Linked DNA regions of Arabidopsis thaliana. The protein of the gene in region 1 interacts with the protein of each later gene in a pairwise test. Each region holds a gene or a part of one and is shown in the gene's direction. Other genes may lie near its edges.

Evidence for each region.
Region 2: the proteins of AT4G14420 (region 1) and IQD12 interact in a protein complementation assay, tested with the Arabidopsis thaliana proteins (one large-scale study listed by BioGRID).
Region 3: the proteins of AT4G14420 (region 1) and AT4G01410 interact in a protein complementation assay, tested with the Arabidopsis thaliana proteins (one large-scale study listed by BioGRID).
Region 4: the proteins of AT4G14420 (region 1) and UTR2 interact in a protein complementation assay, tested with the Arabidopsis thaliana proteins (one large-scale study listed by BioGRID).

What each region holds. Positions count from the first base shown.
Region 1 is NC_003075.7:8,300,656-8,306,760, reverse strand, and holds AT4G14420 (HR-like lesion-inducing protein-like protein), read left to right. Parts: upstream 1-2,764; 5' UTR 2,765-3,022; coding exon 3,023-3,090; intron 3,091-3,905; coding exon 3,906-4,020; intron 4,021-4,117; coding exon 4,118-4,207; intron 4,208-4,294; coding exon 4,295-4,393; intron 4,394-4,485; coding exon 4,486-4,590; 3' UTR 4,591-4,910; downstream 4,911-6,105. Other genes in the region: IBR10 (indole-3-butyric acid response 10), read left to right, coding at 1,129-1,851; bHLH104 (basic helix-loop-helix (bHLH) DNA-binding superfamily protein), read right to left, coding at 5,258-5,500, 5,588-5,750, 5,832-5,912, 5,997-6,105.
Region 2 is NC_003076.8:1,066,700-1,072,849, reverse strand, and holds IQD12 (IQ-domain 12), read left to right. Parts: upstream 1-2,685; 5' UTR 2,686-2,930; intron 2,931-3,060; exon of another isoform or gene 3,061-3,153; 5' UTR 3,154-3,166; coding exon 3,167-3,241; intron 3,242-3,314; coding exon 3,315-3,956; intron 3,957-4,019; coding exon 4,020-4,517; 3' UTR 4,518-4,692; downstream 4,693-6,150. Other genes in the region: AT5G03970 (F-box associated ubiquitination effector family protein), read left to right, coding at 1-1,129. UniProt on the Arabidopsis thaliana protein: May be involved in cooperative interactions with calmodulins or calmodulin-like proteins. Recruits calmodulin proteins to microtubules, thus being a potential scaffold in cellular signaling and trafficking.
Region 3 is NC_003075.7:575,869-581,011, forward strand, and holds AT4G01410 (Late embryogenesis abundant (LEA) hydroxyproline-rich glycoprotein family), read left to right. Parts: upstream 1-2,159; 5' UTR 2,160-2,439; coding exon 2,440-3,123; 3' UTR 3,124-3,419; downstream 3,420-5,143. Other genes in the region: AT4G01400 (oligomeric golgi complex subunit-like protein), read right to left, coding at 1-1,375; CBL5 (calcineurin B-like protein 5), read right to left, coding at 4,170-4,206, 4,433-4,545, 4,631-4,711, 4,799-4,851, 4,980-5,088.
Region 4 is NC_003075.7:12,058,990-12,065,893, reverse strand, and holds UTR2 (UDP-galactose transporter 2), read left to right. Parts: upstream 1-3,035; 5' UTR 3,036-3,407; coding exon 3,408-3,530; intron 3,531-3,891; coding exon 3,892-3,920; intron 3,921-4,001; coding exon 4,002-4,203; intron 4,204-4,293; coding exon 4,294-4,536; coding exon of another isoform or gene 4,537-4,559; intron 4,560-4,605; coding exon of another isoform or gene 4,606-4,633; coding exon 4,634-4,735; intron 4,736-4,818; coding exon 4,819-4,959; intron 4,960-5,155; coding exon 5,156-5,263; intron 5,264-5,311; coding exon of another isoform or gene 5,312-5,345; coding exon 5,346-5,576; coding exon of another isoform or gene 5,577-5,587; 3' UTR 5,588-5,710; downstream 5,711-6,904. Other genes in the region: AT4G23015 (uncharacterized protein), read right to left, coding at 5,312-5,587; AT4G23000 (Calcineurin-like metallo-phosphoesterase superfamily protein), read right to left, coding at 6,247-6,432, 6,511-6,659, 6,817-6,904.

The sequences.
Region 1 (6,105 bases):
ATTGATAAGTTATATTAGCTAGAATATTTGTAATTCATACTTGATAATCGTACTAGCATCAGCAATATATGTCACATCATGCATCTATTTATAATATCCAAATTACGTCATATGACCATAATCGTATATATCGCCATAAGATAGAATGAGAAACGGGTGCAGTCTGATCAACCAAACTCAACCGAATTAGACAACCCACGAGAAACCTTATATGGTGTGGGGAATTAATCCAAAAGACAACATTGTATATAGAGAGAGGAAGTGTTACACAAAAATAACCATTTTTTTTTTTTTTTTTGAATGTAAAACCAATACAATAAGTCAGTAACGAAGATGGAAAAACCAAACAATAAACACATATTTTCTTGTTACACTTGAGCTATGCTTTTTCTTCTTCTGTCGTTAATTCCAACGAGATGTGAGTGGACATCCAAGGCGGACGAGGAAACGACTATGAAGATCAGATAGTGTGACGGTACAATTCTATTTAGATCGAAAGTAGTATATTCGGTAGCATTTCGGTATGTTTTTACCGAGACTTACTGAGTCATCCGATAATAAAATATATAAAAAAACGATTATAAAGATAAATTGTATTAAAAAAAACATGTGTAACTAAAATTATAGATTTCTTTAAAGAAAAAAGGAAAGAAGAAGAATCCTATGAGAAAGGAAAAGATGGTTTATATCATTTCTCATTGACATTAGTGAGGATAAAACTTTTTAAAGAGATTTTGAATTTTCTCTAGAAATTTGCGAAAACCCTTTTAAAAAAACTAGATGCTCTTTTTGTAGAGAAAATATTTATTTTCATAATCTTGATTGAAAAATTAAATTTTTTTTTCAGAAAAATCAAAAACTAAAAACATGTTAGATATTAGTACCATTCAAGGTCTAAATTATATTTGGTATTAAATCCAAATGAAATTATGTTTGACCAAAAAAAGAGATCTCGTACACGCCGGCCCATGGGCCTTTACAACAGATTGAACCAAAATGGAAACATAGACCAATCAGGATAAGGTATATTTCTCTCTATATTTGCACAATTCAACAACAACACGATTTCTCACACATTTCAAGTTTTCATTATCATCCAGAAATCTTCTTCTTCCTCCGATCACCACCATGTGTACGTTAGAGAAACGCGGCGATCTCTTCCTCCTAACCCTAACCGGAGACGGCGAACACAGATTCCACCCCGACACAATTGCCACCATTCTCTCCCTTCTCGAACAAGCCAAATCTCAATCCACCCGTGGATCCATCCTCATCACCACCGCCAACGGCAAATTCTTCTCCAACGGATTCGATCTTGCATGGGCTCAAACCGCCGGATCCAAAACCGGAGCCGCAAACCGGCTTCACCAAATGGTTGAATCATTCAAACCGGTGGTAGCAGCGCTTCTCGATCTCCCTATGCCGACGATCGCCGCCTTGAACGGCCACGCCGCCGCCGCGGGATTGATTTTGGCTTTGAGCCATGATTACGTGTTCATGAGGAAAGATCGTGGGGTTCTGTATATGAGTGAAGTTGACATCGGGCTTTCGATGCCGGATTATTTCTCGGCGTTGGTTAGGGCTAAGATCGGGACGAGTGCGGCGAGGAGAGAGCTGTTGTTGAGTGGGAAGAAGATTAGAGGAGAAGAAGCGGTGGGTTTGGGGATTGTTGACTCGGCCGCGTATGATAGTGAGGAAGGTGTTGTTGTGGCTAGTGTGCGCCTTGGTGAGAAATTGGCGGCGAAGAAATGGAGCGGTGAGGTTTATGCGTCGATAAGGAAGAGTTTGTATCCGGAGCTTTGTGGGATTCTTGGTTTAGAGACTAGAGTGTTTGCAACACCTAAGCTCTAAGAAAGCGTCTTTCAGAGAGTGAATCTTTGGTTTATTTGAAAAACACATGTTTTGGGAGAAAGAGACAATGTTAAACTCTAGAACTGTGATCACAGAAATAATAAACATGTTCAATGTTGGCTTGTTCAGTGTTGTTGTTGGGCTTGTTCTTAGGCTTGGTTGTTTAAAATATGGAACCGGTTTAATCGGTTTTAGAGCTAATTAGATGAACTAGAGATAACCGGGTTGTAGTAGTTATCGGAGAAGGAGAAACGGTGTTGTGAATTTGTGATTGCTGAAATTACGCCATGTTAAACCGGTATTAAAACACAAACTGTTTTTCGTTCGAAAACGCATCTATCAATCTTGGTCTTTTATGTTCCTAAAAGATAATTTACACACTCCCAGACATGTAATAATTAAACCAGCATTAGCATACAAGACGACAAGAAAAACTCACCAAAAAATGATAATTTTAGTTGTGACCCCTTTTTCACAGTATAAATTCTTTTTAAAACTTTATGCAAAATTGTATTAAATTATATTATATGAAATAAATTTAAGTAAAATTGTTGCTTTTTAAAATTTAACCTCTTTATATTACCATTATCATAAAACAGAATGAATCTAAATAGAAAAATTCCCAAACAAAATCTCAACTATTTAAAAGTTGCCCAGATTCATATACACGATTTCATATATAAATTTTTTCAGTTTTATCCTAAAATAAAACTAATTTTATTTATTTAAAATATCAAATTTATATTGATTTTCTAAATAAATACCAAAGGGTGATAAAATAGTTTGGTATTTGATTTGAGGTTAGTTTTGATTTAAAATGTTAGTAATAATGAGTCGCGTTTTATTGGTTGCCGGCTTAAATACTTGAAATGACTCGGACGAACGTCATTGGCCAGGCAACGTGTAAAGCATCCTACGTGGCGTTTACTTCCCAACGAAGTAGCGAGTACAAAAACCAACATCATTGTACTCGCGCGAGTAGGTCGACGAAATAAAAATCTCACCTTTTTGACCCCAAAAATTTCTAAATATTTCAAAATCAGCCTCTTCGTTTTCTTTCTCCTCCTGTCTGTTGATTTAAAGACCCAAATCTGACGCTTCTCTCTCTCTTTCTGGTATCTGCGTTTGATTCGGAGAAGAAAAAAAAAAAAAAGGCAAAGAGAGAGCTTCAATGGAGTTAGCTTCTTTCCTTGGTAGAGCTCTGTTTGTTTCCGTATTTCTTCTCTCCGCATGGCAAGAGTAAGCAATTTCCTCTTCTTTACTCGGTTTAGATCTGTAAGTAGGATCTGCTTTTTCTTTATATCTGAGAAAATTCAAAATCTGGGGGCTCTTTGTCTCTGTTGTCTTAGAGAAGTGCACAAATTATGAATCATGGATTTAGGTTTTAGCTCGATTATAGCTGAGTGAGTGAGTTCTTGGAGGAGAAAGAGAAATAGAATGTTGGACAGTGAAGGAAAAGTATGGATCTTGCTTGCTTTGCTGGGGTTGAATTTGATAGATAAGATATCTCTGGTTAGATTTTGTTTCTGATTGGTCAATAACTGTCGAACATTGCTATGTTTTCTTCTGTTATTACATCATTCTCTAATTTTAGCACTTTGTTTTTTTTAAGTTCTTTCTTTTATTACTCATTAAGTGGGTTGTCCTGAAGTTGCGAAGTTTCTTGTTGAGTTGGTCTCGTTGGTAGTTGGTAGTTGGTGGTTGGTTATTTAAGCACATGATTCTAAAGTCTTGAAACCAAGAAAATCTTACTAGGTGCTTTGTTATGGTTGTTGTGAATCAATTTGACTCAACCAATGAACTCATATATTGAATGCCTGTATAAGGAGTTTCTCTTCTAATTTCTTGTTTTAAGTTACACAATTCTTCTGACGTTACAAATGTAGTATCTTTATACGTTGATTGAAGAAAACTTTCTTTGTTCCCCTTGACTGTCTGCTTGGTTTAGTTGAAAAGCATTGCTATTTGAGTCTCTACAGAGACAGTTTACCTCACTTTTGTTCTTTCCCTCACTGATTGAAAGTTCCAATATTTTTAATGACTTCATTGTTCAGGTTCAATGATTTTGGTGAAGATGGTGGCCGATCAGCTAAATCTTTGAAACCAAAATTCAATGCCTTTGTAAACCATGTGACAACTCACACTGGCCAGCAATTGCCACCAGTCGATGTATGTGCTTCTTCATGTCCATTCTTTGTCCAAACACAGTAACCAAATCGTTTTTTTTTTTGTTTTCCTGTTTTATTCACTTTGCTTTGGTTTGCAGATGAAGATTCTTGTTGCTGCTGCTATAGCCTTGAAGGGTATTGGGGGACTATTGTTTGTCTTTGGCAGCTCATTGGGAGCTTATCTCTTGGTATGCACCAACTGTTCCTTCGAATATATTGTCGCTTATCAGAATGACGAAAACAACCCTGTTTAACTCTATGAAATCTGGTTTCAGCTTCTGCATCAAGCCGTTGCCACCCCAATTCTGTATGATTTCTACAACTACGATGTTGACAGAAAGGAATTCGGCCAACTATTTTCAAAATTTACACAGGTTAGCTAATGTCATATTGGTTGTTTAATGAAAGTTTAAACAACTGTTGACATAGACCTGAGATCTTTTTCTATTCTGTGTTAACTTTTCAGAGCTTGGCTCTTCTTGGAGGACTGCTCTTCTTCATTGGAATGAAAAACTCAAGGAAACACGGTAGGCAACTCAGGAAAAAGGCTCCAAAGGCAAAAGCAAACTGAAGAAGCCATATCTTTCATCGGTTTTATTCGGTCTGTATTTTATTTTCATTTTGGAATCCAGGATGGGTTTAAAGAGTCTATCTGATGAGGCCATTGAAAGGCAAAATCTCTGCAAATCATTTTGCTTACTTCAAGAAGCTTTTATGACACTTTTTTGTAGAAATATTTATGGATTATTGTTTCTTAGAGACACCACTTCAATGTTATTGTTCCAACTTATTTCACAACGCGACTGATTTATTAACCTACGGAATAGCCATCAGCTCAACCTTTGTAAATTCATTGTCACTTTGGTCCTAATTGGCTAATTTGTTGCTACTCAGTGAATGGTAAAAATAATTATTCATATAGCGAAGAATACAACAGCAAGAAGCTCTCGTAGCTCAGTTGGTTAGAGCACCCGTTTAGTAAGCGGGAGGTCTTGAGTTCAACTCTCAACGAGAGCAACATTTTTGGTCTGAGCTAAAGTTTTTGATAACTGAACTTTTCGAACTCATAGATCAGAGAAGAATCACAAGTTTCTGGAGTTATATTTATTTTATAAGAAAAATACAACCCAAGATCAAGAGTAAAGCTTTTACACTTGCCAAACGGAAGAATCCTAAACCAAGTGATTCAGAAATCTCTATGAGTTCCCTATGGGTACCAAAAAAAAACAATTGAGAGTTTAAGCAGCAGGAGGCCTGAGTTCTTGATCACGAGATGTGTCACGAACGGATTGAGGCATATAATGCCACATTGGCATGTAACCGTAACTTGGATAAACAGCCATTTTGTTGTGGTTAAATGCAGCTGGAATATGAGGTATGAACCCTGAAGATGGAGCCGTCATAGACTTTAACTGTTGTTCTGTCTTCTCTTTATCCGCCTTCAACACCAGCTTTTCCTCCCTCAGCTCGTTCTTCTCCGCCTATAAAGAAACATACAAACTTAGAAATCTGTTCACATCCCATTGAACAAGATTCTTGGTTTAGGTGAAAGTGAATGAACAACCAACCTTGAGACTCTTGATCTCCTCTAAAAGCTTCTGGTTAGTTTCTTCAAGCTTAAGAGCTTCATCTCTAAGTTGATTCAATATACGGATTGCATCATCGAGTATAGCCGGTTTATCAGTCTTAGGAGTCCTCCCAGGCTCCAAAACCGAGCTCAAATCCATAAACCTAACAGAACAACAACAATTTTTTTCCCCTTGAGACAACTCACTTCACAAAACAAAAACATAGACTAAGCTCTAAACATACCTCTCATTTAGCTTCTCCCTCCTCAACCTTTCACGACACGCTTTAGTTCCTCCTCCTCTGCTACACGATCCAGTCCTTGCCCTATCAACAACCATCACAGATTCAATTAAAAACACAACCAACTACCACCAAATCACAAAAAGTTTATATTTTTTCAAAACTCACCGCTTTCTGGAGCAATCGTCATCTAAATGTTCCTGTTCTTCCTTAACAGCTCCACCAGATGAACCAGAATTGATCTCTACTTCTTCTTCCTGCACAACTTCACAATCTT
Region 2 (6,150 bases), on another chromosome or scaffold:
GCTGATTTTGGTGTCCAAGAGATGGCTTGAGATTATAGCCAGCCCTTGCTTCCGTCACACTTACTTAGCCAAGTGGAAACCTAATTTTGAACTCATTGGCTTCTTCGTCTGCAGCTCAATGTACCTTGGAAGACGCATAGATGGAACTCGTCGCCCTCGCGCTGAGCCATCTCTTCCTTTGCTCTCAACCAGCAGTATTGGTGATGAAATTGAATCCTCTGGTATTCTGAAAAAGCTTGGATACTACATCGACTCTGCAGATGGTCTTCTACTCTGCGGCCGCCATCCAAAAGCTTACTACTTGTGGGATCCGAGTACACAGAAGCAGCAGCAACTTCCACGTCCCAGAGTTCATTTCGAAGAACTTTGTATGTCTTTGATTTCTGAGGATAGTCCTGATCAAGGGTTTAGCTACAAGGTGGTCCGGGCAGAGTGTGTAGCCTTTCCTGTTAACAGTACAAAGGTGAAGGTAGAGACTTTTTCCTCAAAAACTTCTACGTGGAGCTACTCAGAGCTTATTTGTCTCGAGCCTCTATCTCTCAGCCCGTGGACTCCAGGGAGAGTGATTAAAGGCGTTGTTTATTGGCATGCTAGAGGAGGTAAAATTGCCATATATGACTCAAACAGTGAGGAGAAACGGATTGATGTGATAAAGCTTCCGAAAACATATGACTATGATGAACAGGTTCTGGGAGAAACCGATGATGGGTCTTTACAATACGGATGGAGCAATAAGTCGGTAATGGAGGTATGGAAGCTTGAAAAGGTAGGCAATGTGCTTGAATGGAACCTGCTGTTTAAGGTGAATTTCAAGGCGATGTGGAAAATGAACCAAGCGGTAGCTACAAGATTCAGCACTTGGACTAAAGAAACGCAGCTGCTTGCGCTCTTCAATCAGAAGTCGGACTTGGTGTACATCAGATGTGATACACAAATCTTCATCTATCACACAGAGACTAAAAGGGTCGAAGTAGTTCAGTACCAAGGACGAAAATCGACACTCGTTTGGGATTTCAACAAAGTGGTGCCTTACTTTCGACGTACCTGGCCTTGTTCTCCTCTGTTTGAAAACAATGCCATGATGATCGACACTCCTCAATGCAACGCCTCTTCCGCAGGAAGTAACTAAGTAGTTTATGCTTTTAATCAGTTTATGTATGTAGGCTATTCAACTATCTTTTATGTTTTGATGCTGAAGGTTTTTGGTTTTGGCCATTGATGAACCTCTCATGGTTTTGATGTATTCTCTCATGGGTGTCATTAAAGACTCTGCCTTTTTGCATTTGCGTTTTGGATCTGCGTTTTGTGGTTGACTCCGTTTGTAGCTAATTTATGATAATTTACACATAGAACAAATGGTTCAATCTAACAAATTATAAAACAGATCAATTTATTTACACAGATAATCGATGTCACTTGTCTACATAGTTCTTAAGTTATAGGTTGATCCAAATAGTTTCAATATTATAAGTTGAATTAATGGGTCACTTGGAGAATGTCCACATTCTTTGAAATGTAATGACGAATGTTTGTTCTTTCAATTTTCTAAAAAACGAATAAACATAATAATAATTATAAAGTCATGTAGTGATCTAAGAAACAGATCATAGTTTCTCTCTATGTAATCTTAGGTACAGATAATAACTTTATGATCTCATTATTGGTACATTGATTTTTTTTCTATTTTCTTTTTGCTTGCAACCTTTTTCTTCCCTTTTATCTTTTTATGAATGATGAAAATGTTATGTTAAGATATTTGTAAAGATCATTGATTTGAATAAATAGAGACCCGTCTAAATATGCACCAACAATTCTGACTTCAAGTGAGATTTACATTTCAAAATTATGCATTATGCCTAGAAAAAAGATGATCACTAATATTGTTGGATTTGAAGGGAAAAAGAAGCTGGTGTTAAAAGAGTGGTGGGACATTATGACAACTCAAAAGGATCTTTAACTGTGTTGAGAAACTCCAATGCATTATTTATAAAGGCCTAAACAAAACCTATAGGTCGCTCTCTATATATGTTCATATCATATATATGGCTCACATGGCTCATCATTGTTTCAATGACATGATAACTAAAGTTGTAATGATCTACTCAACAACGAATTTTGGTCTATATGGACCACCACCATCAACTAATTTTTATTGATATTCATCCGATTACGAGATTTGTGAATCTTTGATAAATTTAGCTCATTATTATGAAACTTTTAAAGTAATAAATATGTGCATGTTTTGAGTTTCTACCAAGTTTGGGTGTTAAAACTCAGTTTCATAATTAAAACTCCGTTACTGCTATTTCGTATAATGTCATTTTAGTGAGTTATAAACATTTAGTGACTAATACTTTTTAGCATTCTCAACAAGACAACAATCACCCCTAACTACAAGAAAATGAAACCCAAAATAGTCTTTGATTAAAAATCTCCAAAGTTTGATGTATCTAATTTTATTTCTCTATTAATGATTAAACTGTACTATCACTCATTGTCGTCATTATTCTTTTCTCCCAAAGCTATAATAATTTACGAGTCCAATGTATATAGTTTTCAAGCGATATAATGGTTACATTAAAATATGTATAATCTACTTTAACATACTTTCATATATATTTTGGAGGCATAGATATTAGATACGTTGACAAGCCACATGTTCTTTTATCACAAGCCAAAAGTAGGAAGAAAGAAAAGAATGTATGAATTTATAAAGTGATTGGTTAAGAAGCAAAAGAAAAAGGAGAGTTAGGGGTTTGAACAAGTCAGTAATCATATAGATAGTGAAAGTGACAGTTGGAAAAGGTGAGAGAGAGAGAGGATCATCACTATATTTAGACATCACTTGAAATCATCTCTTCACAAGTGTCTGAATCTCCCACATCATCTTTCTTCCTGATTCTCATCATTTGGTTTGTGTTCGTTCATAGGTAAAGTAAGATTCTTCCATACCTATTAGACACTAATGTGTTGTTACATCATTATATCGTTTGTTCTATTGATGTGATTTATATATTGATGAGTCTAATGATCTTGAAACACAAAATCTGTGGATATATACCTATTTTGGTTCGATCTTTAATGGATCTTCTTTAGATGTTTGTTCTGTTTTCTTGATCAACTTAATAAGAGGATTTTATCATTTGTTACCAGAGAACTCCATCTAATGGCGAAGAGGAGGTCGTGGTTCGGTTGGATGAAAAGACTATTCATCTGCGAGGCCAAAGCAAGAGCAGAGAAGGTTTTGTTTCTTTCTCTACACACTATGAATTGTTTATGTTTCTGAATCTAAAATGATTCTTCTTTTTACGTAGAAGCCAAGGAGATTGAGATGGGTGTTTAAAAGGCTGAAGCTGAGACCGCAGCTTGCCACTTGTGGGCAAGAGACAAGGACTTTGAACGAAGCAACACAGGATCAGAGGAAACATGCAATGAATGTAGCCATTGCCACGGCTGCAGCAGCTGAGGCAGCGGTTGCAGCCGCCAAGGCAGCTGCTGAGGTTGTCCGGATGGCGGGAAACGCCTTCACATCACAACATTTTGTCAAGAAGCTCGCTCCCAATGTGGCTGCTATCAAGATTCAGAGTGCATTCAGGGCTTCTCTGGCCAGGAAAGCGTTGCGGGCGCTTAAGGCACTTGTAAGGCTTCAAGCAATTGTGCGTGGCCGAGCTGTTAGGCGAAAGGTTTCTGCTTTATTGAAGTCTTCACACTCCAACAAAGCTTCAACATCAAACATCATCCAGAGACAAACAGAGAGAAAGCATTGGTCCAATACCAAATCTGAGATCAAAGAGGAGCTTCAGGTATCGAACCATTCGCTGTGTAACTCAAAGGTGAAGTGCAATGGTTGGGACAGTAGTGCTCTCACGAAGGAAGATATAAAAGCCATATGGTTGAGGAAGCAAGAAGGTGTGATCAAGCGCGATCGTATGTTGAAATACTCCCGGTCTCAACGGGTAAAGTCTCTCTCTCAAGATCTTTATATATCTGGTTAGTTTTTCAAGGAGTTGTTTTTGCAGGAGAGAAGAAGTCCTCATATGCTTGTGGAGTCACTGTACGCTAAGGATATGGGGATGAGAAGCTGTCGGCTGGAACATTGGGGTGAATCCAAGTCTGCAAAATCCATCAACTCATTTCTCATTCCAAGTGAAATGCTTGTCCCTACAAAAGTAAAGCTTAGATCTTTGCAGAGACAAGACTCTGGTGATGGACAAGACTCTCCATTTTCTTTCCCAAGGAGATCTTTCAGCCGTTTGGAGCAGAGTATATTGGAAGACGAGAGCTGGTTTCAAAGATCCAATGGTTTCCAGCCGTACATGAGTGTGACAGAGTCTGCAAGGGAAAAGATGAGATCACTGAGCACACCAAGGCAACGTGTAGGGATCATGGATTCTTTGTTTGATAACTACAAGAAGGATGGGGATAAAGTCTCTCTCTGGTCTACTTTTGTCTGCGAAAATAGTAAGATCAACAACGCTAAGAAGTCGTCTCTGACCACATATCAACATAATTGTTGAATCTTGAACATTCATGTCACTTTATTTCTTTGGTTTTCCCAGTTGTTTTGTTATTTGGATCTCATATCTCATGTGCTTTATAGATATGGTTATGAAGAGGTCAATTTTTTGGTGTTTGATGTCTTGCTTCTGTTCATTTCTGTTCAAGATCCTCCTAAATATACTTTGGTTCTGATCTTCTTAGCCTCTGTTCTTGAAAGCTGCAATTCAAAGTATATAGAAGAGTAAAACATAAGCCACTTAGTCTAGGAATAAAAGTAGAAAAGAGACAAAACATATATACATCCACCAAGTCTAATCAAACTTGTGAATGAACTAGTATCTCTTGAACAGAGGTGGAAATAAAAGAACAAGTAGCAAATCGAAACTAGTATGGGAACATTCAATAACAGGATCAAATAATACAAAGGAGGCAGAGCACAACGTTAATTAGATAAAAAGAAATTTTCACATAAGTAGATGAAAAAAGAATTGCTCTCGTAGTTTACCAAAGTGAGATATGGTTTTCACCGTTTGTCTTTTCAGTTATTTTCAGACTAAAATATCATTAATGGGAGCAACCAAACCACACAGCACTTGATTTCGGTTTAGTTTCTGTGGTTCAGTTTTGAAAAAAAAAAAAAAAAAAAAAACTGAAACAAAGAAATCGAAGAAGAAGAAAAAGAGAAAGAGATGGAGTATTTCGAGAGAGAAGTAGAAAGAAGTTCAAAATTCATTATCCACTCCTTCATATTTCGACATCTTTGCATTGAACTCCAAAATTGAGGAACAAATTTCTTGTTTTCAGAGATGAACAAAATGCAAAAAAAAAGCTCATAGATACAAACACTTTAGCTTTTTAAACTAAAGATACTCTAGGTTTACAAGATTTATTTATAAATAGTAATCAAAACGTAAAAAAAATGAGATTTTCAGAAAACTAATAAAGACGGCCGCAAAATTAGGTTTGCAGAAAAGGATACACAGGTTGAAGATGACTGAAAAATTACAATTATACCCTTCATCGAATTTTTTCTGTGTACGTATATTCAATTTATAGTGTACGTACACGAAATTATTTATTGGAACATATATGGGACGAATTCTAATAACTAAAACTATTTTATTACGTATTCTTATATCTCAATAATCTCAATACATACATAATAATTAAATAAAAATAGATGGTGAAATAATGTACGTACATTTTTGTTGGTAAATTAATGTATGTACATGTGTACATGTGTACATGTGAAATAATATACGTACATTTTTGTTTGTGAATTAAATTATTAAGAAAAATTTATTGATACAATATTAAACCAATATTGGCAGTGGTTGAGATAAGACATTGTTTGTTGTATGATTTTCTGTTCTTAAAAACACTTCTCAATGTATAGTGTAGGTACATTGGTACAAACCATGTTGACACATACTTCTTGGAGTCACAGCTGGTGTGCGGTCTCCCGAGTGAGAAATGTTATCTCCGCCAGGTACACGCTGACTTGTGTACGTACACTCTGCCAACAGACGACTGAATTCCCCTGGTGTGAGAATGACGTTCTCCTCAACATTCCCTATTCCATATTCTTCTACAATTACATCGTTCCACTTGTTGTAATCATAATCTTCGCCACTACTTTCACTACCATCA
Region 3 (5,143 bases), 7.7 Mb from region 1:
CATTTTTACGTTTCATCTGTAGCTTACTAGAAAGGTAAGATCCTAAACCGATACCGACATCAACGATTCTGGTATCACCGGTTATTTCTTCCTTTACAGCATCTTCAAGAAACAGTTTGATCTTCTCCGACTCATCTTCATTACAGATTAATGGAATTACCATCTCCCAAGTGTCTGAATGCAATGTTTCTCCGTTCTTCATCACAACCTCTACAACATCACAAGCTTCTTCGACTTTCCCGAAGCTACAAAACCCTTTTACCAAACAATTTGAAACCGAGAAATGAGGAGAAAACCCTTTGGATATCATCTCTTCTAGATACTTCTTCCCTTCATCAAACATTCCTTGATCACACAATCCTCCAATCAAAGTCCTATACGAGACCGAATTAGGCGAGCAACCGTTAGACAACATATCATCAAGAACTTTCCTAGCATCCATCGCACGATCTTCTCTACAAAACCCGAGAATCATCGTGTTGTAATGAACAAGATCAGGATTACAACCTTTTAACTTCATCCTACATAGAAGCTTATAAGCCTCTCTAAGCTGTGTCTTCCTACACAAACTGTTCAACAATGTCGTGTAACTTAACCTATCAGGCACGAATCCTTTATTCAACATATCATCAAGTAATTCCATAGCACCATTCACTTGACCTTTCCTACAAAACCCTTGTATCAGAATCTTATAAGAATCCACATCAGGGACAACATCTCTCTCAAGCATTTTACCAAACAGTTGGTATGCAATACTCAAATCATCATTCAAACAAAAAGCTTGCATCAATAAATTGTAACTTCTCGTGTTAGGCATTACTCCATGAAGCCGTGAACTCTTGAAAAGCTCAAAAGCTTTCTGGAGATAACCTCTATGGCTTACGAGAACATCTAGAATCCGATTCAGATGTTTTGGCTGCGGCGTGAAATTGAACTCCAGCATTTTGTAAAACGTACTTAAGACTTTCTCCGGTAACTTTGCTTCTGCGTAGACTTTGATCAGATAAGTGAAAATTTCTCCGGTTAATGGATAACCACTTGATCTGTGTTTGGCGAGAACGTCGTCGATAAGATTGAAATATCTACCACGGCCGAGTTTGAGAATGAGGATTAGATGAGAAGATCGAGAATGGCGGAAATTGGGCTGTTGAGAAGCATAATCGAAAATCTCCTTGGCGAGGAGAGGATCCGATTGCGAAGCTATGAGCTTTTGAACCCGAGTCGGAGACCCGATTGGGGATTTAGGGTTCGAGACAATCGGTTTTCGAGCTTCATGTTCAGATGAAGAATAGAACAGAAAACGCGAGGATGTCGATAACGGAGAAGTTAAGTGGCGAAAAACGGCGGCGAAGTCGTAGATCGGCCGGCGAATCATTTGTCGGAGTTTTTTTTTAATAAATCGGCCGTTGGAAGTGAGACTTGTATCAGTCAGCAAATTATCAAATATCTCTCTGTACACAATAGTTTTAGTGTAGGCCCAATTTTATAATGGGCTTATAATTGAGGCCCAGGTAGCATCCACAGCATTGTCGGTGACTACAGTGTCGGTGGTGCGGTATCTCAGTTAGTGTGATTAAATAACAGATTCTTCTTAAATGTGATTATTATTTATTTTGGAAGCTTACTAATAATATATGGAATTTGGTCAGAAGTATTGTTGGAGATGTGGACATAAAAGACTTGTACTTTTATTTTCTAAACATTAGAACAAATATGACACATGTGGTATCTAATTAATTTATTATTAATTGCTTTATACAGTTGATAAAGAATTGTGAAATATGATAATTTAATTTTCTTTCTACATAACCGTATTCTGGCATGCAAACAGATATTAGGTTATTGCTAACTTTGACAGGCCGTAACCTGATAAATTTCATTCTAATTTTTTTAAAAATTAACACGGCCAAAAAGTGATAGTTATCACGTTGCACGAAACCATAGTTGTCACCAAATAAGTCAATCATTGACAACAAAGTATTTGATTATGTATAGCCATATGTATACACGTTACATTGGATTTTTCATTTTTAAAAAATTCATCACTCATCAGATCCGTCACGTGAACGGTTGCACCGAGATTTGGAGTCTTTCGAAAGTACTTCTCTATCTTATATTATTACATTAAGTATTATAACAAAATAAAATCACAATGTAAAAACAGTAGTAATTTACGGCTACTTTATAAAAAGATTAGCTTTAACACATAATTACAACTACAAGCTTTCTAAGTTAATAAACAATTAATAAAACTGTACTCTAGAAGACTGTTTACTCTTATTAACTAGAAAAGAGACAAAACCTTGCATCTACTTATCTTCTTTCTTCTCCTCCTCCTTCTTTAGAGTCTTCACTCTTCACCGAACCCTCTGATTCTCGTATAGACACACACATACCTATACATACACACTTTAACACTTATATCTGTAGAGTATAGCCATGGGAGAAGGAGAAGCAAAAGCAGAGCACGCAGCCAAAGCAGATCACAAGAACGCTCCCTCCGCTTCTTCAACGCCAGAATCTTACTCTAAAGAAGGCGGAGGAGGCGGTGGAGATGCTCGCCGCGCAATCTGCGGCGCGATCTTCACCATCCTTGTCATACTAGGTATCATAGCCTTAATCCTTTGGCTCGTCTACCGTCCACATAAACCACGTCTCACCGTCGTCGGAGCCGCCATCTACGACCTGAATTTCACAGCGCCGCCGTTAATCTCAACCTCCGTTCAGTTCAGCGTTTTAGCAAGAAACCCTAACCGGAGAGTCTCCATTCACTACGACAAGCTCTCTATGTACGTAACGTACAAAGATCAGATCATAACACCGCCGCTTCCACTACCACCGCTTCGTTTAGGACATAAATCTACGGTTGTGATAGCTCCGGTGATGGGAGGCAACGGTATACCAGTCTCGCCGGAAGTAGCTAATGGTTTAAAAAATGATGAAGCTTACGGCGTCGTTTTGATGAGAGTGGTGATTTTTGGGAGGCTACGTTGGAAAGCTGGTGCGATTAAGACTGGACGGTATGGATTTTACGCCAGATGTGATGTGTGGTTGAGATTTAATCCATCTTCTAACGGACAAGTTCCTCTTCTCGCTCCTTCAACTTGTAAAGTTGATGTCTAGTCTTAATTTTACTTCGTTATGTTTTCTTTTTTAATCTTTGTGTTTTAGAATTGTAATCTTTTTTTTTTGTGGTCATGTTAGTGATGAGTTTCGTCGAGTCTAGTGTTAAAATAAATTAAAAGGCATAAGCCAAAAATTATAAGTACAAGTATATTACTAATTTTATATTTTACTTGTGATAATTATTTTGTTTCTCTGTTGTTGGACCTGTGGATGTTAATTAATGACATTTGACAATACAAATGTGTTGTCGCTAATAGCGTATCTTGGCATATGGTGAGTTCATCGACACAACAGCTCAGAGTGTTTGATCAGACATATGGCATCTTCAGGCAAATCTCATTTTGGTTTTATCATATATATATTTTTCCCCCATTATTACGGAACTATTTCCTCACGATTATAATTAAATACTTAGAATATTACTATGCTTTTCTGTTTTCCGATTCAATGATATTGTTTTTTTGTAAATCTGAATCGGACGTTAGGAGTCTTCTGAATATAAGTTACATTTTTTGAATGAAGCATCCGTTTAAAACGAGTGACTAAAATGATCGTGACTCCACAAGTCATCGCGTCAAATGTAAAATTTTCATGTGAAACAGTGAAAGCGTCAAATCTAAATAATATTGTGGATGATTGTTGTGAATTTGATTAGTTGACCTGATTCAAAAATTTGATTGGTATATCATGTCAATTTTTTCTCTTTGGTTTTGGCAACTTATATCATGTCCAATTTCTTTTTGTGTTACCATTTTTCTCGAATTTTCACACGTTTGTTCTTTTTCTTTTTCCTCTTTTCCTTTTCCAAAACCCCATTTTGTCTTCACGAACCGATCTTTGCTTTTAAGTTTTCATATCACAGCTTTAGCTTTGTGGTTAAAAACAATTACTTTCTATCCTCGTTAAATATTAAAGATTTCTTTCGATAGTTAATATGTTTATATAATAATTAACCTTCTATATTTCTTATAACAAATTACCTATGTGATTTTCGGATAAAAATATTTTTAAACAAAAACCTCTAGCAAACACCTCATCTGATTTTACCGGAGAAAGGTTGGGAAAATCCTCGGAATGTCCCTGTACAATAAAAGTTAATTTTAGAATAATTATCTCGATTTATAAAACAAGAAAAATAAAATAAAAGAAGATAATAGTAATATATGCATAAACACACATATATAAAAGCTGTTTTTGAAAGATGTATATATATTACTTTTTTTGTAAAACGAAAGATGTATCTAAAACATGCAATTTATCAGCGAATATTAAGAAAATGGTTAGGAAAAACAAACAAACGAATTACTTCAAGAAAGGGATAGTCATGTTCTTTAGTGTCAAAGGATAGGTGGCAACAAAATTCTCCCATTCTTCCAAATCTATTATCCCATCTTTTTTCCAATCGGCCTCTTCAAATGTCTTTGCCAAATATAAGTAAACAAAAATAGTAAGTAAAATCACTATAATGTTAAATCAAGCTCATAAACTTAAGCGTTATACACACCTTAGACACGATAGAATCAATGATACTCTCGGATAGCATAAGTTCTGATTCCTCTAGAACGTCTATTATCATCTCTTTCACCTATAGATTTCTCCAAGTCGAGGAAAACCGTCAAATATAATTAATCATGACTTTTTCTTTTTTTTGAGACAAAGTTTACATACGTACCTCCTCCGGTTCAATGAATCCAGTCTCACGAGTATCGTATAATCTAAATGCAACTGTTTAATTTTAAACAAGTGATCAGATGTATTTGTGGTTATAGTTAATAACATTGATCTCTAGCTATATAGAAAATAATAATAACATGGAATAAATGAATAAACACATTAGAAGTGATGAAGCATACATATGGCCTTATCTCTTGGTGATGAGTTTGGGTGAAAAATGTTGAGTGTGTGTACAAACTCTCCAAAATCTATAGCCCCATCGTTTCTCATATCGAATAATCCAAAAATCTGCATATTTCAGAGAAACAACATCAATCGAAGTTTATTTATTTATTTCGCTTAA
Region 4 (6,904 bases), 3.8 Mb from region 1:
AGAACTAATCAGTTTAAAGTTAACCATGACTTGAGTCACTAGAGATCTCATGCATCCTCCTAATTTTATATTTAATGAAAATTGTAACAAATTTCTCTTACAATTTTTTTTAAAAGCAAAACCTAATTTCTGTGCATAAATATATCTAACCTCGAATCCCAAAAATTGAATTATTGTTTCAGTAAGAAAAGAAACCCATAATTTAGGAAATAAACCGAATTCCCCTATGTAATAGAATTACGTACCAAATCATTGTTGCTGAGAGAGAGACGCTTGAACGCATGGAGACAATTTCGATATTTGAAAACTTGTTTACTAATATATTGTTAGATTTTAATAATTTGCATTTGTTGCACTAACCAAAAATTGCGACATATTACCTATAGTTTGTTTTTTTTGGGGGCAAATTACCTATAGGCTATATCACTGCATTTTGTAATCACACGTAGTCACATAGGACATATATATTGTATAGTTCTGTTTATTGTATACAAGAAAGTCATACTCGTGCTATGTTCAGTTATATGCCTTAATATTAATAAGCCAAATTTAACGATATAAATATAATTTACTAAGTTTTAGGACTTGTATATAAGTTGTACAGTAGTACTACTTGTTTAAAATTATACGTATAAGTGTATAATTTTTTTTTCTTTTCTTTTAAAAATTTAGTTTTATAATATTTTAAAAATATTCCTAGCAAAGAAAGAATAATTCATATATGCTGACTATCACGTCTAGTTGTAGTAGTAGCTACACAAATACTTGAATTTGAATTAATAAGTATATAGATAAATTGTACAAGTATCACCTATTATAAGTTTGCCAACCCTGTTTTGCGCATGATAATACGGCAGTAACAGTGTCCATAATCAATAATAACACAAAATCTTATTAAAAATTCGTATTTTATTTAGAAGAAAAAAACTAATTCATCTATGAAAATTAGAAGGAGACGTAACCGCTAACTAGTGTAACTGGACCTGCCTTCGGTGTTTGGTAAGATTCCGGTACTCTGTACAAAATGGCTGAAGCTAAGGCCCACACTATTTGACCGTACGTCACTGGATTGTTTCTCTAACGACTTTGATTCTTTTACTCGCTTGAGTTTGAATGTAAATGTCTGATTTTTTTTTAACAAAAAAGAATAAAATATATATCTACATAAATCTATAGTTTTCTAGCAATAATATTGTTGTCAATTTGTGAAATGTGATGGGTTGCTTGCATATGCAAAAGTCTCTCGATCGAAGTCTTCCGTTTATTATGAACCACACAAATGGTTTTAAGCAAGAAAAATATCTACGAGTAAGATCAATTTTGTTATGTGTAGAGATTATCATTTGTAACTTTATGTATTAATACAATTGCACGTAAAGCTTGACCTTCTAATAGAAATAAATTTGATAGGAAAAAATCTCTAATACCAATTGCAATTTTTTTGTTGTTGTAATATTGCAGTAAGCTCTCTCATTTAAGCCTTTGAACAAAAAATAAAATAAATATCAGATTTATTGTTGAGTTTCGCGTTGGTATTTCAAGAAAAGAATATGGTCTTTGGCTTTTGACCAAAAAAAAAAAAAGAATATGGTCTTTGGCTCTTTGCGACGCCTATATGCATATATGATATTTGTATGACTATAGACTCATAGTTAATTTATTTTCTATTCCATTTTAACTTATCAGTGTCACTAATCAAAGCTATTATTAAACGGTCTATTTTAAAACAAACCATTTTGTCTATATGCTATTTCATATACGACGATTATAATCGCTTCTTTAGAACTAATAGCCAATAATAATGTATATTTCGACTGTTCACCATACACCGCCACCTAATTCTTCTAAAACATTTCAATTCATTGACTAAATATCGTCATTATTTTGCTTACACATTTTGTATATGTTCCTCCAAATTTGTTCACTAGAGTTTTCAACTAGAACAAAACAACTACTCTGTTGGTGAAAGAATGAATATGCATGTGTGAAGTTTATTGCTCAATATGGATATAGAAGATGAAAAGAAAAAGAGTAAATTGATTTCTTTACCAAAACGTGTCCAGATGTTATGTCAATATGTAATTCTGACATGACCAGAACTTCTGTAACGCATTTAACAATCACTTCCGAAAATAACAAAAACAAAATTCAGGAAAGATGATGAAATTGTAAAAGACAGACTGTAATGGCGTCTATTGAGACAATGACTCAATCTGTCTTAAACCGGAAAGTTGACTCGTAAGCCATATTGATTATCTTTATTAAATTTTCCTTTTTATTCTCTTATTCTCTCGAAGTAGTAACTTTCTTTTGCATCAAATAAAGAAAATATGAAAACGCACCCCTAAAGTTTATCTTATTTTTTTTATTAGTGCCTCTAGTTTTCTAATGTGTAGAGTCAGTGACACACTTTCTTTTTACTTTATATCAAGATTTGATGATATCATATGATTTTAGACTTCTAATTAAGGTTTTTGTAAAAATTGTCACACTACTTTTTTGAATTCTTTCACTTTTTTTAACAAATGTTATTTAGAAAACATAGTCAATATACAGATCCTAAATGTAGATAAAAATTTACAATTTTGACTAGCAAGATCTGATTTGATATGTTTCTTATATATCAATTTTTACCCTTATTTGTTCCATTTTACTTTGATACTTTTTTTTATAGACAAATTTAGATAATTTTATTTGATAAGTCATAGCATTTATTTTTCTTATTTTTATACCAAAATTTATTATAAATACATTTTTCAAACAACACATATACAACACAAACTGTCATTAAAACCCAAATTTTATATATATATATATACCAAGCTGGTAATAATATGATATGATCGTAATTAGCAAACATGAGATCATGCAATAAAAGACTTAAGACAAAAAAATGTGCCACGCTGGTAATGCAAATTTTGTCGTGGTGTGTAGATAAACAAAAGTTTCAGACTTAAATCAAACATACATAAACGTTAAGGGTCTTACTTGCAAATTTGAGTTTTACCGGTAAAAAAAAGAGTAACAGGAAACGTAAAAAGAAGAAGAAGAACGCTCAATGGAGAAAAAACGTGTCCCGAAGTGGCAAATCACGCGACGAGTCTCTTCTTCTTCTTCTTCTTCATGCGTTTTCTCCTTCCTTCTTAAAAGCTCTCTTCTTCCTCCTCCTCTTTTACCAATACATCTATTAACTCTCTCTTCCCTCTTCATCAAGTTTCTCGAGGAGAGTGAAGAATTTGGTTTTAATTATTCTTTGATTACCCTTTTTGTGGTGTGGTTTTCGTTATTTCGAGGAGTGATAATAATACCGTTATGAGTCATCACTTTACATGTGTTTGATCAATTACTCTTAATTCACTTTCTGGGTTTCTTCCTTTGAATCTCTCCTCAAAGAAAAGAAAAGAAAAATGAAGGAGGAACAAACAAGATCTCTGTTTGGAATCTCTTTGTCTGATAAACCAACTTGGCAACAGTTTCTCATTTGCACTTCTGGTTTCTTTTTTGGTTATCTCGTTAACGGTGTTTGCGAGGTTCGTTTCTCTCTTTTTTGCAATTTGATTCGAGAATTTTGATACATAATCAATCAACGTTAATGTTTTTGTTTGTTCTTTGTCATAATTCCACATACCCAGCTCCTGAATCTCGTAAATTTATAATTTTTTTGCATTTTCAATCTCTTGCATGCTAAGTGTTTGATGTTTTGTTTCTGAGAGAAAAAAAAACAGAGGAAGAAGAAAAAATTGCATGACGAACTAAACTCTCTCCAAACTTGTGAGAGATCACAAAAAATCTGTGATCTTTGTAAAGAAAACAGATTTTAGAGAATGTGATTGGATCTACAAGTACTCATATATGATCATTGACTTGATTTATTTTTCTTTGGTTTTGCAGGAATATGTTTATAATCGTCTTCAATTTAGGTAAAAGTCAACTTTTGATTACTCTTTTAAGTTTTAGATTTGAACAAAAGTTAACAATGGGATTTTGCTCTGTCTTTGTAGCTTTGGGTGGTATTTCACGTTTATACAAGGATTTGTCTACTTGTTTCTAATCTACCTTCAAGGCTTTACCACAAAGCATATAGTTAATCCGATGAGAACTTATGTCAAACTCTCTGCTGTTCTCATGGGTTCACATGGTTTAACCAAAGGATCTTTGGCTTATCTCAATTATCCAGCTCAAATCATGTTCAAATCCACCAAGGTAATAGATCCACATTTCCCAATTACAGTCTCAATGAGTTTAAATTGAGTTTAAAGAATGATCGGAATGACCATCTTTCGGATGTTTTAGGTGTTACCGGTGATGATAATGGGAGCGTTTATACCCGGTCTTAGAAGAAAATACCCAGTCCATGAATACATTTCAGCGTTCTTGCTTGTTCTTGGTTTGATCCTATTCACATTAGCCGATGCGCAAATGTCTCCAAATTTCAGTATGATTGGGATTATGATGATAACCGGTGCATTGATCATGGATGCTTTCTTGGGTAATCTGCAAGAAGCTATCTTCACAATGAATCCTGAGACAACTCAGGCAAGGAAACTAAAGAAAACACGGTTCTTTCGGTTTTCCTTTACCGGTCTGTTTTGTTTCGTTTCTGAGATTAACTCTTGTTATGTGTGTTGTGCAGATGGAGATGCTTTTCTGCTCAACAGTTGTTGGATTACCGTTCTTGTTCGTTCCCATGGTTTTAACCGGAGAGGTTTTTCGTGCGTGGACTGCGTGTGCACAAGTAAGTAAACAACCTCTGTTCTCTTTTTTCTGGTTTGACTTTTGGTCAACCTTTAACCAAACCAAGTTAACCTTATGAGATAGTCGTCCATTTTAAGTGAAAGTGACAAAGAGTGGAACCTTTTATTTGGCTTTGAAAGTACTTCTATAGATTTGACTCGGTTTATGATTCAAACCGGAGTTGGACTCAGTTTAGAGAAAAAGTCAAAATTTGTAGGATTCTTGGTACCACGAAATGAGAGAGATCATTGACCGACGACGTGCCTCTGAATCTGCCAAACTTTTTAAAAGCCAAATTGTCTCTTTTAAATTCATTGATTCCATAACTTAAGTACCAACGTGGAATATTTTATAGTCAAACGGTTTAATGATTCATTGGTTGACATATTTAAAACCAATTGTGCTTTGTTTATATTTGCAGCATCCGTATGTGTATGGAGTGCTTGTATTTGAAGCCATGGCCACATTTATCGGTCAAGTCTCCGTTCTCTCGCTTATTGCTCTCTTTGGAGCCGCCACAACTGCCTTGGTAAATATCTAATCTTATCTTTGAATACTCATTTGTATTTTAATTGACTCAATGGTCTAAAATCACATTTCGTTGTGTGTAGATAACAACGGCTAGGAAAGGGGTTACATTGTTGCTGTCGTATTTGATATTCACAAAGCCGTTAACGGAACAGCACGGATCAGGCTTGCTGTTGATAGCAATGGGGATTGTATTGAAGATGGTTCCAATGGATAGTAAAGCTCCGGCCAAGATTCCGGCGAGACCAGCGGTTAGGATCGCAGGAGGCGATGGTGATAGAGAAGAGGACGAAGAAAGGAAGTCATTGGTTTGAGAATGTGCCATGTATTTATATATATTTTATCTCACAAATTCAAAGGGTTTATAGAATAATGTTGGATGAAGGAGACACAAAATAGAGTTAAAGTTGTGTCAGAGACTTGTTATTAGATTCTAAAGTGAAATTGCAAAAGATTGAGCTGTTAAATTGTTAACTATGATATGAATTATTTTTGTCATCACTCTCAGAAGAAAGCATTATTCGTCTCAAAGCCTATTCATAAAGCGGGAAACGCTAATGACTACATTCTAAACGACAGGATCAGTGAAGAACCTGATTCTATCTAAGATCCTCCAGTTTCTTTCTCTGATCTATGAATAACAAACTTATCGACAATCTTTACGGTGTTGACAGGATCCTGCTGCAATGTTGTTGCACACCATTTGCTTGGAAACCTTCTGTGATGACTCATTTTCACAGTCGATCTCGGCTCTGCATCCCAGTCCTTGTCCAGCTTCCATTCCTTTGGCACCTGTACTCATTCATCACATACACTCCTCTGTTTAATTCTATAATCACAAACTTTTTCTTTTGTCATTTCGAGAGTTGTTTTTCTCACCTTGTCTACTCCGAGAGTGAAGACTTCAAGGTCTCCATCAGGTTTGATGTTGGAAACGGGTGAATGATTTGTTAATTGGCGATCCGAAGTGAAGAAAATGCTTCATCAAAGTGTATGTGAAGCCAGTTGATGGATATATATAAGTAACTTCCAAAAACCAAAGATACAACAGGGGTTGAGAAGAACCCAAAAGTAGAGGAACACAGAAGCATAATAGATGGCTTGCTCCGCTTCGAGAAAGTGACTCCCATTCCTTTCTCGACAGATGTTAGTCCGTGTAACCGCCATCACCTATGTCAAATACTTTACTTTCGGCTGAAAAATAGTTTTCTATTTCAGCTAAAACGAAGGCTAAGTTGACGATTTTACCTCGGGAATATCAAATGCTGACATAAGATACTTGATGCAGGCAGGATATAATCCGAACGTCCACTGCTCAATACGGTCTCGGAGGCCAGTAGGGTCCGGAAAATGTTCATTTTCTACTGATTTGTACCACTGATACAATGTATGATACCCTGTGTAGCAAAAAGTTTGAAAATCTCAAAATCCATTAAGGTTTGATCACAGATACAAAAAAATATCAATTAAAGTAGGATCACATATTTTTTGTCCACTTGTGTCAATGACATTGTAATGAGGAAAGCCACAACATTCTATGGAAAGGAAACTGACCGGAGTTTGCAAGGAGCTTATGCTGAATACAGATTTCTATGCCGAGTTCCAACAGCAACATAAGAATCAAAGCAGCCATCAGGTGTGC